3 linked regions of the Nothobranchius furzeri genome follow. The protein of the gene in region 1 interacts with the protein of each later gene in a pairwise test. Links are inferred from orthologs where the notes say so. Each region holds a gene or a part of one and is shown on either strand. Other genes may lie near its edges.

The links. The genes of interacting proteins can lie anywhere in the genome.
Region 2: the proteins of tpp2 (region 1) and ppp1r16a interact in binary tests that used the Homo sapiens proteins (3 or more experiments, as listed by UniProt). The two-hybrid records come from large-scale screens. The link is inferred for Nothobranchius furzeri from reciprocal best matches to the Homo sapiens genes TPP2 and PPP1R16A.
Region 3: the proteins of tpp2 (region 1) and polb interact in binary tests that used the Homo sapiens proteins (3 or more experiments, as listed by UniProt). The two-hybrid records come from large-scale screens. The link is inferred for Nothobranchius furzeri from reciprocal best matches to the Homo sapiens genes TPP2 and POLB.

What each region holds. Positions count from the first base shown.
Region 1 is NC_091749.1:36,628,444-36,633,245, forward strand, and holds the start of tpp2 (tripeptidyl-peptidase 2), read right to left. Parts: upstream 2,908-4,802; 5' UTR 2,801-2,907; coding exon 2,636-2,800; intron 1,645-2,635; coding exon 1,516-1,644; intron 1,381-1,515; coding exon 1,285-1,380; intron 1,051-1,284; coding exon 946-1,050; intron 864-945; coding exon 739-863; intron 643-738; coding exon 479-642; intron 387-478; coding exon 232-386; intron 149-231; coding exon 72-148; intron 1-71. UniProt on the Homo sapiens protein: Cytosolic tripeptidyl-peptidase that releases N-terminal tripeptides from polypeptides and is a component of the proteolytic cascade acting downstream of the 26S proteasome in the ubiquitin-proteasome pathway.
Region 2 is NC_091747.1:54,999,639-55,003,125, reverse strand, and holds part of ppp1r16a (protein phosphatase 1 regulatory subunit 16A), read right to left. Parts: intron 1,460-3,487; coding exon 1,335-1,459; intron 1,159-1,334; coding exon 1,033-1,158; intron 961-1,032; coding exon 885-960; intron 814-884; coding exon 684-813; intron 613-683; coding exon 450-612; intron 377-449; coding exon 1-376. UniProt on the Homo sapiens protein: Inhibits protein phosphatase 1 activity toward phosphorylase, myosin light chain and myosin substrates.
Region 3 is NC_091757.1:55,610,343-55,614,488, forward strand, and holds part of polb (DNA polymerase beta), read right to left. Parts: intron 3,483-4,146; coding exon 3,416-3,482; intron 3,336-3,415; coding exon 3,216-3,335; intron 3,109-3,215; coding exon 3,050-3,108; intron 2,949-3,049; coding exon 2,899-2,948; intron 2,737-2,898; coding exon 2,685-2,736; intron 2,560-2,684; coding exon 2,505-2,559; intron 2,435-2,504; coding exon 2,362-2,434; intron 2,285-2,361; coding exon 2,214-2,284; intron 2,131-2,213; coding exon 2,044-2,130; intron 1,939-2,043; coding exon 1,871-1,938; intron 1,747-1,870; coding exon 1,607-1,746; intron 669-1,606; coding exon 574-668; 3' UTR 1-573.

The sequences.
Region 1 (4,802 bases):
GGAACACATCACCAAAGACAGTCAGCAACAGCTACGCTAACCAATCTAACAACCCAAAGCCCCGGACTCACCCTGAATTAGGCCAGTGAGTGGCTTCCCCGTAGCTGTAGTTCACCAGGTCACACTTGTAGTTGATTACTTCAATCATCTGTCAGGAGCAGAAAGACACAAAGAATAAACATGTACAAAATAAAACCTCCAACTGAGCTGGGTTTTTCTATGGAGTTATACCGCGCGGATGAGCCCGGTGCCCGTTTCCATGGTGCTGAGGCGAGTGTCACCAATTTTCAATGCCAGAATTTGGGCACCAGGAGCCACGCCATTACGTTCTGGTTCCTCTGGGAAGTACCCTGCTGCAATGCTCGCCACATGTGTTCCATGAGCCCCTTGAAAAGCACATCAACACGTTTCAATGGAGATTCAAGGTTTTACAATGCAAATTTCAACAGTGAGCTGCTGTTGTCCCAAAACAATTTACCTCCACTGGTAACAATGCAGAGCATATTCCCCTCATCGTAGACATTAACAGAGTAGTTAAGCATCTCAGCTTTTCCCAAAGTAGCATACTCTTGTTTTTCTCTGTATGAGCTCAGCACGGTACACTGGGCTAGCTCTCCACACTCAGATGTGTCGACTACAGCCCTGAAAAAGTAATAATGATAAGCAACAGTAGAAAATAAAGAGGATAAGCACAGTAAATCTAATCTAAGATGGGTTTTACAGACGAGGGTGGCTTACTTCCACGTGACACCATCATGCCAAAGTATGCAGTCATACACAGGACCAGGGTCACTGTACTTCTTTTCCAGCGATGCCAGCAGCTCTGACTGATTCTGAAACTCTTCCTTCTGCAACTTTTCATTCTGGAAGGCAGAACAAAGGAGGTAATCAGCACAGAAAACAATCCTCTGGTACACACCGAGAACCTGAGCCTGTGGGTTTGACCTGTGAAGGCGTCGGGTGAGCAAGGTCAAACTCTTCTGTCTTCCGGCAGACTTCAGCGAGGGCTGCTCTGTGCTGTGGATCCCAAATCTTCTCCTTTTGCTCTTTCTAACAAGCAAAAGCACAAAATATTGCAACAAAGTCCACAAATTATGGAAAGCAAGTGTAAAGTATTGCCATTTTTCATTCATTATTATTCATTTAAGTTAATCACTAAACACAAACATTTCTGAGAGTATAGCCTGTTTCCTCACTCATCACCCATAATCCTAAAAAATAAATCTACTAAAGAAATTAAGACTATGACAGAACTAGAACAGTCAGGATGTCATATATTCCTACCTGTATCCTTTCTTTAAGAGCCTTAGGGAAGAACTCAAAGCCATTTTTAACTCCAATGCGATACTTCCCTGATGGATTGACCCAGGCAGGAGGGATCTGAAAGACATAAAAAGACACAGTATGACACACAAGATCACTTGGGGAAAATAAAGACTTGAGATGTAGGGCAATAGCTCTTAACAGAGACAGAATCTCTTTGCTTATTTCATAACAATCAAAAGAAATGCCAACCTTAAGTGTTCTACCAGAGAGGCCAATGATTGTCCCATCGTTCGGTTCTACCACTGTAGTCATGGTCACATCACCGCTGCCTGTTGTGTCTATGATGTCCACAATCTTTGGTTTCCCCTCAGTTGTGACCTAAAGGAGAGGCGATAAAAGCAAATGTGTGAGCTCTGCAACTTATAATATAATATAACATAATATAACATAATATAATATAATATAATATAATACAATTACCACATAGCTCCCTGAATGACTTCATCCTAAATGTTCCATAAATCTTCGGATATTCTCATTTGTGGGTTGTAACCTTCTTTTAGACTTGTGTCACAATGCCAAGAGATAAATGTAGGTCGTTTCAAAGATAGCTCCATGTGTGGGAATACCTCGGATCTTGCATATTTTTAGAACATAACAGCACAAGATAAACAAACGCAGGTCTAGCTTTAGCCAGTGGCTTGTGATGACTACCCTGACATAATTACTCAACTGATCTGTTTTTCTCCATTTCCTTTCAGGTCCATTCATTCGTTTTTCCACTCATAACAGACTTTAAGCTGTTAGAGTTATTATTAAGCTAACAATCGAGTATCTTGTTGTCACCCAACACCCTGTTTCATTCACAGTTGGTAGGCTAATGTTGTTTTATTTGTACCCTACCGGTGTCTGATAACACCTTGGCTTAGTTTAATTCAGTCTAACTTGATCGTTGAAATTATAATACCGTTTAATAAGACAGATGCATCGCACTGGAGATGATTTTGCCAGTTTAAGCAACTAAAAGTACTTGTATGGAACTCTAACCAAGTGACAAATGTAAACACAGTGAAGTCAATGGTCAACTTCAGCTAGCTTTCACGTTAGCATACATGTTCATAATTAAAAGTTAAATGTTTTACAGTCCAGTTGGTTGACTGTTTCATGGCAGAACAAAACATTTCCTAACGTCTACTTTGTCGTATTTAAGTTGTCATTAGGTGTTTTGGGACACTTGTTGTAGTAACAGGTTTATGTTTCACGAGTGGCTAACTGGCTAGCTGCTGCCTACGGGTAACCGTCGGCCTTTAGCTTCCCTAGCTTCCAGAAGCTCGGCCGTAAATAACACGAGGTATCCGGTCAGATTTACCTGCATGCCGGGGGCCCCTGGATCCACGCCGGTGTCGAGGATGGCGATGAGCACCCCTCTTCCATCGTACTCAGGGAACCGGGTGAGGTAAGAGGCAGCTCCGGTTTCTTTCTTGGGGAGAAGCCCGTGAAAAGGAAATGGCTCTTCGGTAGAATGAGCAGCCATGATTAATAAAACGGAGAGCGACAATGAAAAGAAAAGCAGCGAGATGGGAAGAGCCGCCGGAGAGCAACACGGTGGGTGAGACGGGGAGGAGAGCTGGTTAAAGGTGCAGCTCCTGGAAGCAGTTTCAGCTACTCCTACTATTAGTGTTGAGCTGTTGTTGGTGGTTAAAAGTCAGACTGAACATTTTCACACTGTACACAGCCCAAATGGGATCGAGTAGTAAATAATGCCGTTTTTACTTTTTGTTGATCAGCTAACAAATGTAACACCAATACTGTTCATAAGTCTCTACACCAGTTACTACAGAATCTGTTTCAAAGTGCTTCTACTAGTTTATAAATCACTCCGTGGCATGAGGCCAAAATACATCTCATGGATCTCATTCCTGTATATGTGCTCAGCAGGGCTCTGAGATCCAAGCTGCTTTTAGCTACTTTGCTGCACAGATGGAATCAGTTTCCTTACGACCTCAAATGTGCCCCAACGATAGTAACTTTTAAATTAAAATTGAAAACATTCATGTATTCATCAGCGTTTGAATGAATGTTTCTTATGCTGTACCTTCTGTCAGGAATCTTGGTGTGACCTTTGACCCAGCTTTCACCCTGGATTCTTATGTCAGTTCTCTTGTTTGCTCATCCTTCTTCCATCTCAGGAACATTGCTAAGCTGAGTCCCATTCTGTCTCGCTCTGAACTTGAGACAGTTATCCACTCCTTCATTTTAGAGAAATACAGTTTATACTAATATGCTGTGGGAAAATACGGATGAATTAGAATGAAATGTCAATTTAAAGCATGAAATAAAGTATAAATATGTTTAATTCTGTCATTTTGATGTTCCAGACTTGGGTCATGCTGCTGCATGGCTGCAGTAATTTTTATTCAAAGTTGAGCTTTGTGTTTGGATGGGAAAAACAGAAAGAAAAGTCTGCAGTTACATCTCAGGCATGTGCATGGAAAGATCTGAGCAGGAAAAATGTAGAACCAGCTCCACTGAAGAAGATCAATTTCCACAAATCAAAGAAGCTAGGCCGACAGCTCCCAGCAGCGGAGCAGTGTCACACTAAGAGGCATGTAACGAATGACAAGTGTAATCTAAGTTCTGGTTTGTGGTTGCACGTTGAATGTATTATTTCTTAATTAATTTGTAATAATTTATTCTGTGTCTTTAGATAAAGGAAAAGATAGAAACATAAAATTTATTAAAACTGAAAACTGCATCCTAATTATGTCTTATTACCCTTTCCCTAGCCTTGACAGATGATGACATCCTGGAACTAAAGGCAGTGGAGCCAGAAGCTGCAGTCCTGACAAGCATGGACAACAGTGGCACAGATACAGGTTCATCAGACACGGATACAGAGGAACAAACTGGCTTGCCAGAGCCTTTGACTGCTTTATTTGACACTACACTCAGGGAGCTCTCTAGCCTAGTGAACTAGACCAAATTCTTGCTTTGCAAAGTTTGGTCTAGGCATGCTCCATTGGAACCTCAGCAGCTCCTACCAGGACTCTGGCTAGCCAATCACAGCTCTCTAGAGGGGTTTCAAACACATAAAGAGCTGTGATTAGTCCATAATGGTGGGCCAATCATAGTGCTCTATCTGCTTAGTGAACAAATCACAGAGCTTTATTCGCTTTGTGGGCCAATCAGGGCACTCTATATGCCTGGTGGGTGGGATGATGCAACAGAGTGAAACAAGAGTATGCCGCATTCATTGTCCAGTAGAATGCAGAGATCATTTGAAAGACAACGGTAGAACCTGCCCCACAACTGAGAGCTGTCAATGGAGTGTGGCCAGACTAAATAATACATTTATTTAGTCTGGCTTGCCAGGCTAGGAGCTCTCACCACAGGAATTCAATGTAAAATGTGAAGAAACATTTCAAGGACTAAAAACTACAACGCAGCATCATCAACTAGAAAATATTTATATGTCGATGGTTGTGATGAGAAATGTTTTTATGAAAAAGAAATAAAGTCAGAAATCACATAAAAGT
Region 2 (3,487 bases), on another chromosome or scaffold:
TCTGAGAGGGGGTGGTCTGGACTACTGCTGCAGTAGAAGGTTCCTCCTCCTCTAGAGGAGGTGGCAGAGGAGGTGGAGGTGCTGGATACTTGTTGAGCTTAGCAGCTGCCCGCTGGCGTTTCAGGTCGGCCAGCGTTTGGTGCGATTTCTCCCGATTCATACTGTCCGCAGACTCCCCCTCTGAAAGTCCAGATCCAGACGCAGGGTTGAGCTGGTAGGAGGCGCTGCGCTCCATGTAGCCTCCCCCGCTCCACTGCTCTCCAGGAACAGAAGACGCTAGAGAAGCAGAGGTCTCCCCATTTGCCACACTTGATGCAATCTTCCTGTCAGCTGCCTCCAGCTCCTCTAGGCGCGTCGTTGCTGCAGCACCAGCAGCCTGAAACAGAACATCTGGGTGAATTTTGTCGCTCTTGGTGTGATAAAAGTGATAAGGAGACATTTAAATTCACCAAAACAGCGTGCTGGTGCAGCTCTTTGTCGGTTTGTCTGTCTTCATCGTCGTCATGAGTTTCAGGCTGCCGGCCGCGCTCCTGCCACACGATCGCCTCTTTGTGATGCTCCCTCCGATACAGACTGGAGCGTTCGTTCACACTGACGCGACGCACCACTTTACTGTAGTAGCAAACGAGACACAGAGAGGGAGTTAAAATGTCTCAACTCCAGCGGGAATATCTGACTCTCACCCTCTGCTTCCGGTGCTGGATGCTCGTCTCTGCAGCGTGCCCTTCTGCCTGTCCTGACTCTTCATGATGGCGTCGTGTTTGCTCTTCAGGTCCATCATTTTGGCTCGGACCGCTTCGTCCATACACACGTCTGTTAAAACACCAGGACAGGTCAGACAAGTACTAAATGCTACTTTATGGAGCGAGTTGGGTTCTTCTCACCTAGAGGTGTCTCATCTAAGACAGACTTTGCATTTAGATCAGCCCCATGGGCCACCAGCAGCTCCACTACTTGGATCTGTCAAACAAAAACACAAACATTACTCAGAATGAAGTTTTATAAAGCGTTGGCTTCAACTGCAGTACCGACCTGTCCCCAGCAGGCGGCAGCATGTAGCGGTGTCCACCCATCAGAGTCTTTTAGCTCCATATTGACCCTGCTGTCCACTAGCATCTCTGCCACTGACATGTAGCCATTGGCAGAGGCAATATGGAGCTGAGAAGAGATCAACCAGAACACAACATGTTTTATAAGGTGTAACCCAACTCATCAAATATTGATGAATCTTCTGTCACTGTTTCCATCAGAAACATAAAATGCTTTGTATCTTCTAGCTGACTCAAACTCTAAGAAAGGACGTCTCACAGAGCAGAAGTGTCCTTGTGTCTCACCAGCGTTGCTCCGTTGTTGTCTTGTGTGTTTAAATCTGCTCCACTGTGAATCAGAGCCTGAATGTCAGCAAGCATGGTCCTTTCTTTAGCTCCCCTGCACTCATCTATCCGGTCCTGAGTTATTCCTGCCCACGGGGACAAAAAGAAAAAATAAATCAATGCAAGTCACCTCCTGCTGTTTAAACGAAGACCCTGGGTGTGTCTGAATCCATGGGCAGGATGCTAATGAGTATGGGTTCTCGCCGGTCCTTGCTAGACCGCTAAGCAGGGGCGGCATTAGGCCCGGCTACTTGGGCTCAAGCCCCGAATGTTTTATGAAAAGACTAGTGTGTGTTATGTGTGTGTGCGTGCGTGCGTGTGTGTTAAGCCCCGGATCTTCTTCAATCCTAAATCCGCCCCTGCCGCTAAGACCGGAACCCAGAGGCTCTGAATTCGGACAGTCTAGCCTTCACCTCTACGGTGGCCCGTAGGCAAGGGCGCAGATAGGATTTTCAAACAGGGGGGGGACAAAGTTCCAATGTACCCTCCCCCAAACACATACACACACACACACAAACGCAAATGTACACAAACAATTGCAGGAGCCTTAACTAGAGCTCAAGTCAGTTTGTGTCATTTCATCTAATGGTTTACGAAAAAACTAACACTATTATATACGTGTTTGAAGCCACTGTGCAATAGAACGCTGGCAACACCATCACAATCAGTCATTTGTTATTCTCCCAATCGATTACTAACCAAAACCTCATGCTTTATGCAAAACATGTTTTATTTAAACATTAACAAAAATTAAACATTAGATAATTGTTCCCATTTCAATAAATTTGACAGATGTGTGTAGGTTGGCAACATTCGTGTCCCTTTAAGAAGCTGTACCAACTTGATGCTATTAACCCCCGATTTTGTTTTCTTTCTTGCCTTATAAGTGGAGGGGATGGATTAGTCAATCTGAATCTGGGGGGGACAGATCCCCCCGTCACCCAACCTATCTGCGCACCTGCCCGTAGGTCCCGTCACAGCCGTGGCGGCAGCTACACGCAAAGGAAAAATCCTAAAGCTAGCGAAAATTGAGCAGGAATATTAAGGAGCTAGAGCAGCTTCACGTCCATCAGCAGCGTTTGTTTACAACCGTTTTCAGGTAAAGTAACTTTGTTTATTCTAGAAGCTTTCAGGACTTACATGTTAACTTTAGATGGTTTCATGTATGTTTTAAGCTACAGAACGAACTTGTTAAACATACACAACACGTTACTACAGAGTATTATCATGTAGGGAATTAATATAAACCAAATGCATTATAAATGTTGAATGCAGTAGGATATTTTCTAATGTTAATTGGACCTTAGAACTTCTTATTTTGCATCAAATGGGGGTAAAATGCTTTAAAAATCAGGCGTTTTAATAAAATAGCATTGAAGTGTTTTCAATAAGCATTTGTTTATTCAAGTTAAGCCTAATAATGATTAGATCTGTCTTAAAAATGTAAATTCTCTGTAGTTTTTATTTAACTATTCCCTGCTGCTTTTCTTTAAACTGAACAGAACCAGTGTACTGCAGGTTATGTTTGTTTTACATTTTTCTATAAAAACCTCTTTTTAATCTATTACAGGTCAGCATGCACTGTGCTGCACATCTGCCTCTGTGCTGGTGAAGTTGTGGGTCTGGAGGATGAGCGTGAGGAAGATGTGTGTGGAGGAGGTCAGTGGTGCTCTGTCCTGCAGGAAGGACCAGCAAACCACCACTAATGTTAACAGGCAAGTCATTTATGTAGGAACCTCTATTAAAAACAACACTGTGGTTTTATTTGCTGAAGAGTCATAATTGTTATACCAGTGGATCCATAAACCATCTCCTCATTTCATATTTCTGAATACATCTTAGAGATGTAACAGCCGTCGTCCGAGCCAGCCCAGCAGGCCCTGTAGATGGACGATGGACTGGACAGTGAGAGGAAGCGTCCCAAAGCTCTCTCTGCAGACCGTCCTGTATGATGTTCCTCTGACCAGAAACGTCCAGCCACGGGTCTGCTCCAGCCCTCCATCCACGTCTGGATCCTCCTGCAGCAGATCCAGCTGCACTGTTAAAGACTTCCTGCTCACTCAGTTTAAATAAACGATCCAGGAAGAGTCAGTCAGGCTAATCCTGCTTTAACC
Region 3 (4,146 bases), on another chromosome or scaffold:
TATTCAAGTCTTACACCTTATTTTACTTTTGAAAACATCACTCAAAATGCTATTATGTCCCATTCGAACATGTATTTTTCCCCCAAACAGATAAGCAAGCACAATATTGGCATGATAACGTCTACTACCACTTTCCCCTTTGTCTACTTAGCCAAATAAGAAATAAAAGTACAAGTAAGCTGTATTCAAGAGCACCATCGTCAAGAAAAACACGAGTCTCAGCACATACATTACATGCAATAGGTCATTCCAGTTAAAAAATGACTTATCTAGACATTTTGTTTTTTTGTAACAATAAAAACTAATAAAAATAAGGTCAAATAAATTATTGTTTACATGATAAAAAACAAGTTGAAGTTATGTTCACAAGGATGTTTGTGTGTAAAGTCAACATATAAATACAGCGTTTTTTTCACAAGAGTGATGACCATTTCAATTTAGGTAGGAATATTTCAACACAAATCATTAAAAACATTTTCACAGTTACTTTCTTCTCAGCGTCATGAAGGTATGGCAAAAGCATAACACTTGTTTCTAGTAAAATCTTGTTTGCAGGACAGCTGTAGCATTGTTTTACTCGCTGCGATCCTTCGGCTCTCTGTATTTGTACTGGATGTAGTCAAAGATGTCTTTCTCACTATCCACCAGCAGAGGCTCCCCAGCCACTCCTACAACAGATTAAAAGATACAAGAATGAACTGCTGTAAATAATGTAGACAAAGACAGACACCTCATTGGGCGTTGGAGAGTGTAACGGTGTCACCACCACATTGGATGGGTTCCCCATTCTCTAAACCCAAGAGTCAATGAAGAGTGAGCAACTACGCCTTTATTTTGTACAGCTTATGGTTGCATCAACCAACGCACTATTGAAAACAGATCACGTGGGACTTTTCTAGCCTATCTTTTGGGATTTTACATTTGAGATGTTTTATGTTTATTTTATGTAATTATTTTTAAACAACCTGGAACATAACGTTGGGAAGGCCAAGGAACTCAGGCGGAACAGAATGACCCCTGCCCCCCTGCACATCAATGGACAATCTGTGGACCAAATGGAGTCTTCGAAGTGTATTGGCATCCATATCTCTGCAGACCTCTCCTGGTCAGCTAAAAACTACCATCTTTTCAACCTACTGTCCTCTGGCAGGTGCTTCGGATCCATACAGGCCAGAACAAATGGAATCAGGGATAGCTTCTTTCCTAAAGCTATCACCATAATTAACTCAAACTTGCACAATAAATAAGCTGCACTGAAATATCATCAATTTGCCTGTCTGTTTCTGTCACCCAGTACTGTAGTGTGTATTTATATTTATATTAAGTGTATAGTTAAATTATTGTATAGTTTTTATAATGTGCAAAAAAGATATTTAACTATCATGCCATACCATATGTCTGACTTTGTGAAAAAGCATAATAAAAGTATTTTTATTTGCGTAAATACATTAAACAGTAGAAATAAATGCACTGGGGGTGAATGGAGACCCATCCAAGATGGCAGCCTGCCACGGCAGCACAAGTCCACAGGGTGTCTGTCTATATGATGTCTGGTTATTGAGAACTTGAACAAAGTTCTGAGTGTATCTAGCTTTGTTCGACTCACCAGTGACACCAAGTGGTCTTATGGTGTACTCATTAAGAGTGAAGCCCTTCTCCAGGGCATGAGTCCTCATATTTTTGTTAAAGATGTCACTTCCAGTAAAATACAGAACTCCACAGTAGTATTGGTCCTTGGGAATCAACCTTTTGAAATGAAATGAAAATCAATAACTAGCAAGAAAAAAACTATTTGAATAAAGACAGAATTACTCAATCGTTATTTTGAAGCAACCTAATGTATTAAAATCTGTAAGACTTCCATATTAACCTTATATCAATACGCCTGTGAAGATATTCTTCCTCATCATCATCACTAGGCTGCAGCTGACAGACGCCCTAGAGAAAAGGGGAAAAAACCACTAGATCCAGGACATTAAGAAAAGGGTCATGTACAACGGAGGGTTGGTGTGTTTCCTCAGCTGAGAACAAAACAGGCCTCACCATGAACTTGGTGTCTCCTTTGGACAAAGTGTCGGTGACGAAGCCGACAGACTCCAAATGCTCAACCACAGCATGAAGGAGTTTGGGCTGGAAAATGAGAAACGCTTAAATGAGAGAAAGCTGCATTTACTTTAGAAAACAATGAGCCACAGAATAAACGGTGGTCTGACCTGCTTCTCGGTTTGAGAAGTGTACTTTGGGTGGGTCAATAAAATATCAATATCACCACTCGATGCTGCACCTGGAAATTATTCACCTTAATTAAAAAGCTCAACTAAAACCTTAAATTAAAAACTAATTATTTTCTACTTGGGTTACCTCTCCTGTAGCTTCCACAAATTGTTCCGATGTATTCTGTATCGATTTCTGTCAACTCTCCAAGAATAAGAGTCTAAACAAAAACACAGGATCAGTGTAAGAGAACTAGGCATAAAAGCCTTAGTAGAAATATTCAAAATCACCTCCATCTTCTCCATTTCAGCTCGTGGGATTCTTTTTTCAAATTCTTCAAAGTACCTAAGTACCAAAGAAAACACCAGCACATTTATTATGTTAAAAATACTTTTAAAACCATCAAATAATAACAGAAAATGAAGGAAAGTGGTGGTGCTGGGGGATGAGCGTATTTTGGCTGAGCTTACTTGAGCCCAATCTTTTGATGATGATTTAGCTTGTGCTCTACCTTTTTCAAATCTGAAAATAAAAACCATGAGTATCATGAGAATCAATATATAAATAAAACCAAATTTGTACACAACAACTTCATGGGAAACAATGGAGATCAGAGTCTCAGAGTCATTGGATGTGAAATGAAATTAAACAAGAAACTGTTTTAGGGGAATTTGTTTCACAAACCATCTAAAGTCTTAACCCCTTCCTCGAAGAACTTCCTTGCGGCAGCCGGGCTGTGGACAGAAAACCAAGTGATGTGGTGATTGTGTATTTAATTGTAAACATCCCCCGACACTTTTTAACTGTAATAATAGTCACAATAACAATACAATACCCAATTCCAGTTACTCTGGTAAGGAAATTGATGGAAGAGCTGGTGTCATCGTTTCGGATCTGGTAGAAAATATTAAAGTAGCAAACATCAGTCAGTGTGATGCGTTTGAATCCAAACACATTTGGTTGTTTGCTCTTATATCCATTATGCAAATATCCAAACTTACCTTTTCAAGTTTCCTTAACTTGCCAGTTTGAAGAAACTCATCAATCTTTTCTGCTATTTTGGCTCCAACTCCATCCTGTAAAATTGTGAAAAGTTGAAGAAAATTAGTGATTTTCTTCAACTTTTCATGTATGTTAATACATTAAACAACGGTGACTTCTTAACAAATGCAGCAAGTGTACAAAACTAAAAATCACCAACCAGTTTCTTGGCCTCTTCTCCACTCTTAATCTTGTTGGGGTACTTGGCAATGGTGGAAGCTGCTTTCCTATTCGCCGTACAAAAGGAATCATATGTGATGTTTTAAAAACACACCAAAACTGAAGTAATGTTAACCCTTAAGGACCCGTGGTGACACAACTGATTTCAAACACCTGCAGAATTGCTTCTTGAGTCAATTATTCAAGTTTGAAAACCTAACTGACATTCTATCCATACATATATTGAAAATTATTCTACTTCTTTATTTTATTAAATAATTTTTTACATTCTGATGTATTTATTCAAATCGGTTTTCTAATTCATTATGGTTGGGTTCTAAAGGGTTAAAAGAAATAAATCTTACAAATTATTGTTAATATTAGTTGTCGTCTTCCTCCGCTTATCCGGGTCCGGGTCGCGGGGGCAGCATCCCAACTAGGGAGCTCCAGACCGTCCTCTCCCCGGCCACCTCCACCAGCTCCTCCGGCAGGACCCCAAGGCGTTCCCGGACCAGATTGGAGATGTAACCTCTCCAACGTGTCCTGGGTTGACCCGGGGGCCTCCTGCCGGCAGGACATGCCCGAAACACCTCCCCAGGGAGGCGTCCAAGAGGCATCCTGACCAGATGCCCAAACCACCTCAACTGACTCCTTTCGATCCGGAAGAGCAGCGGTTCTACTCCGAGTCCCTCCCGAATGTCCAAGCTCCTCACCCCATCTCTAAGGCTGAGC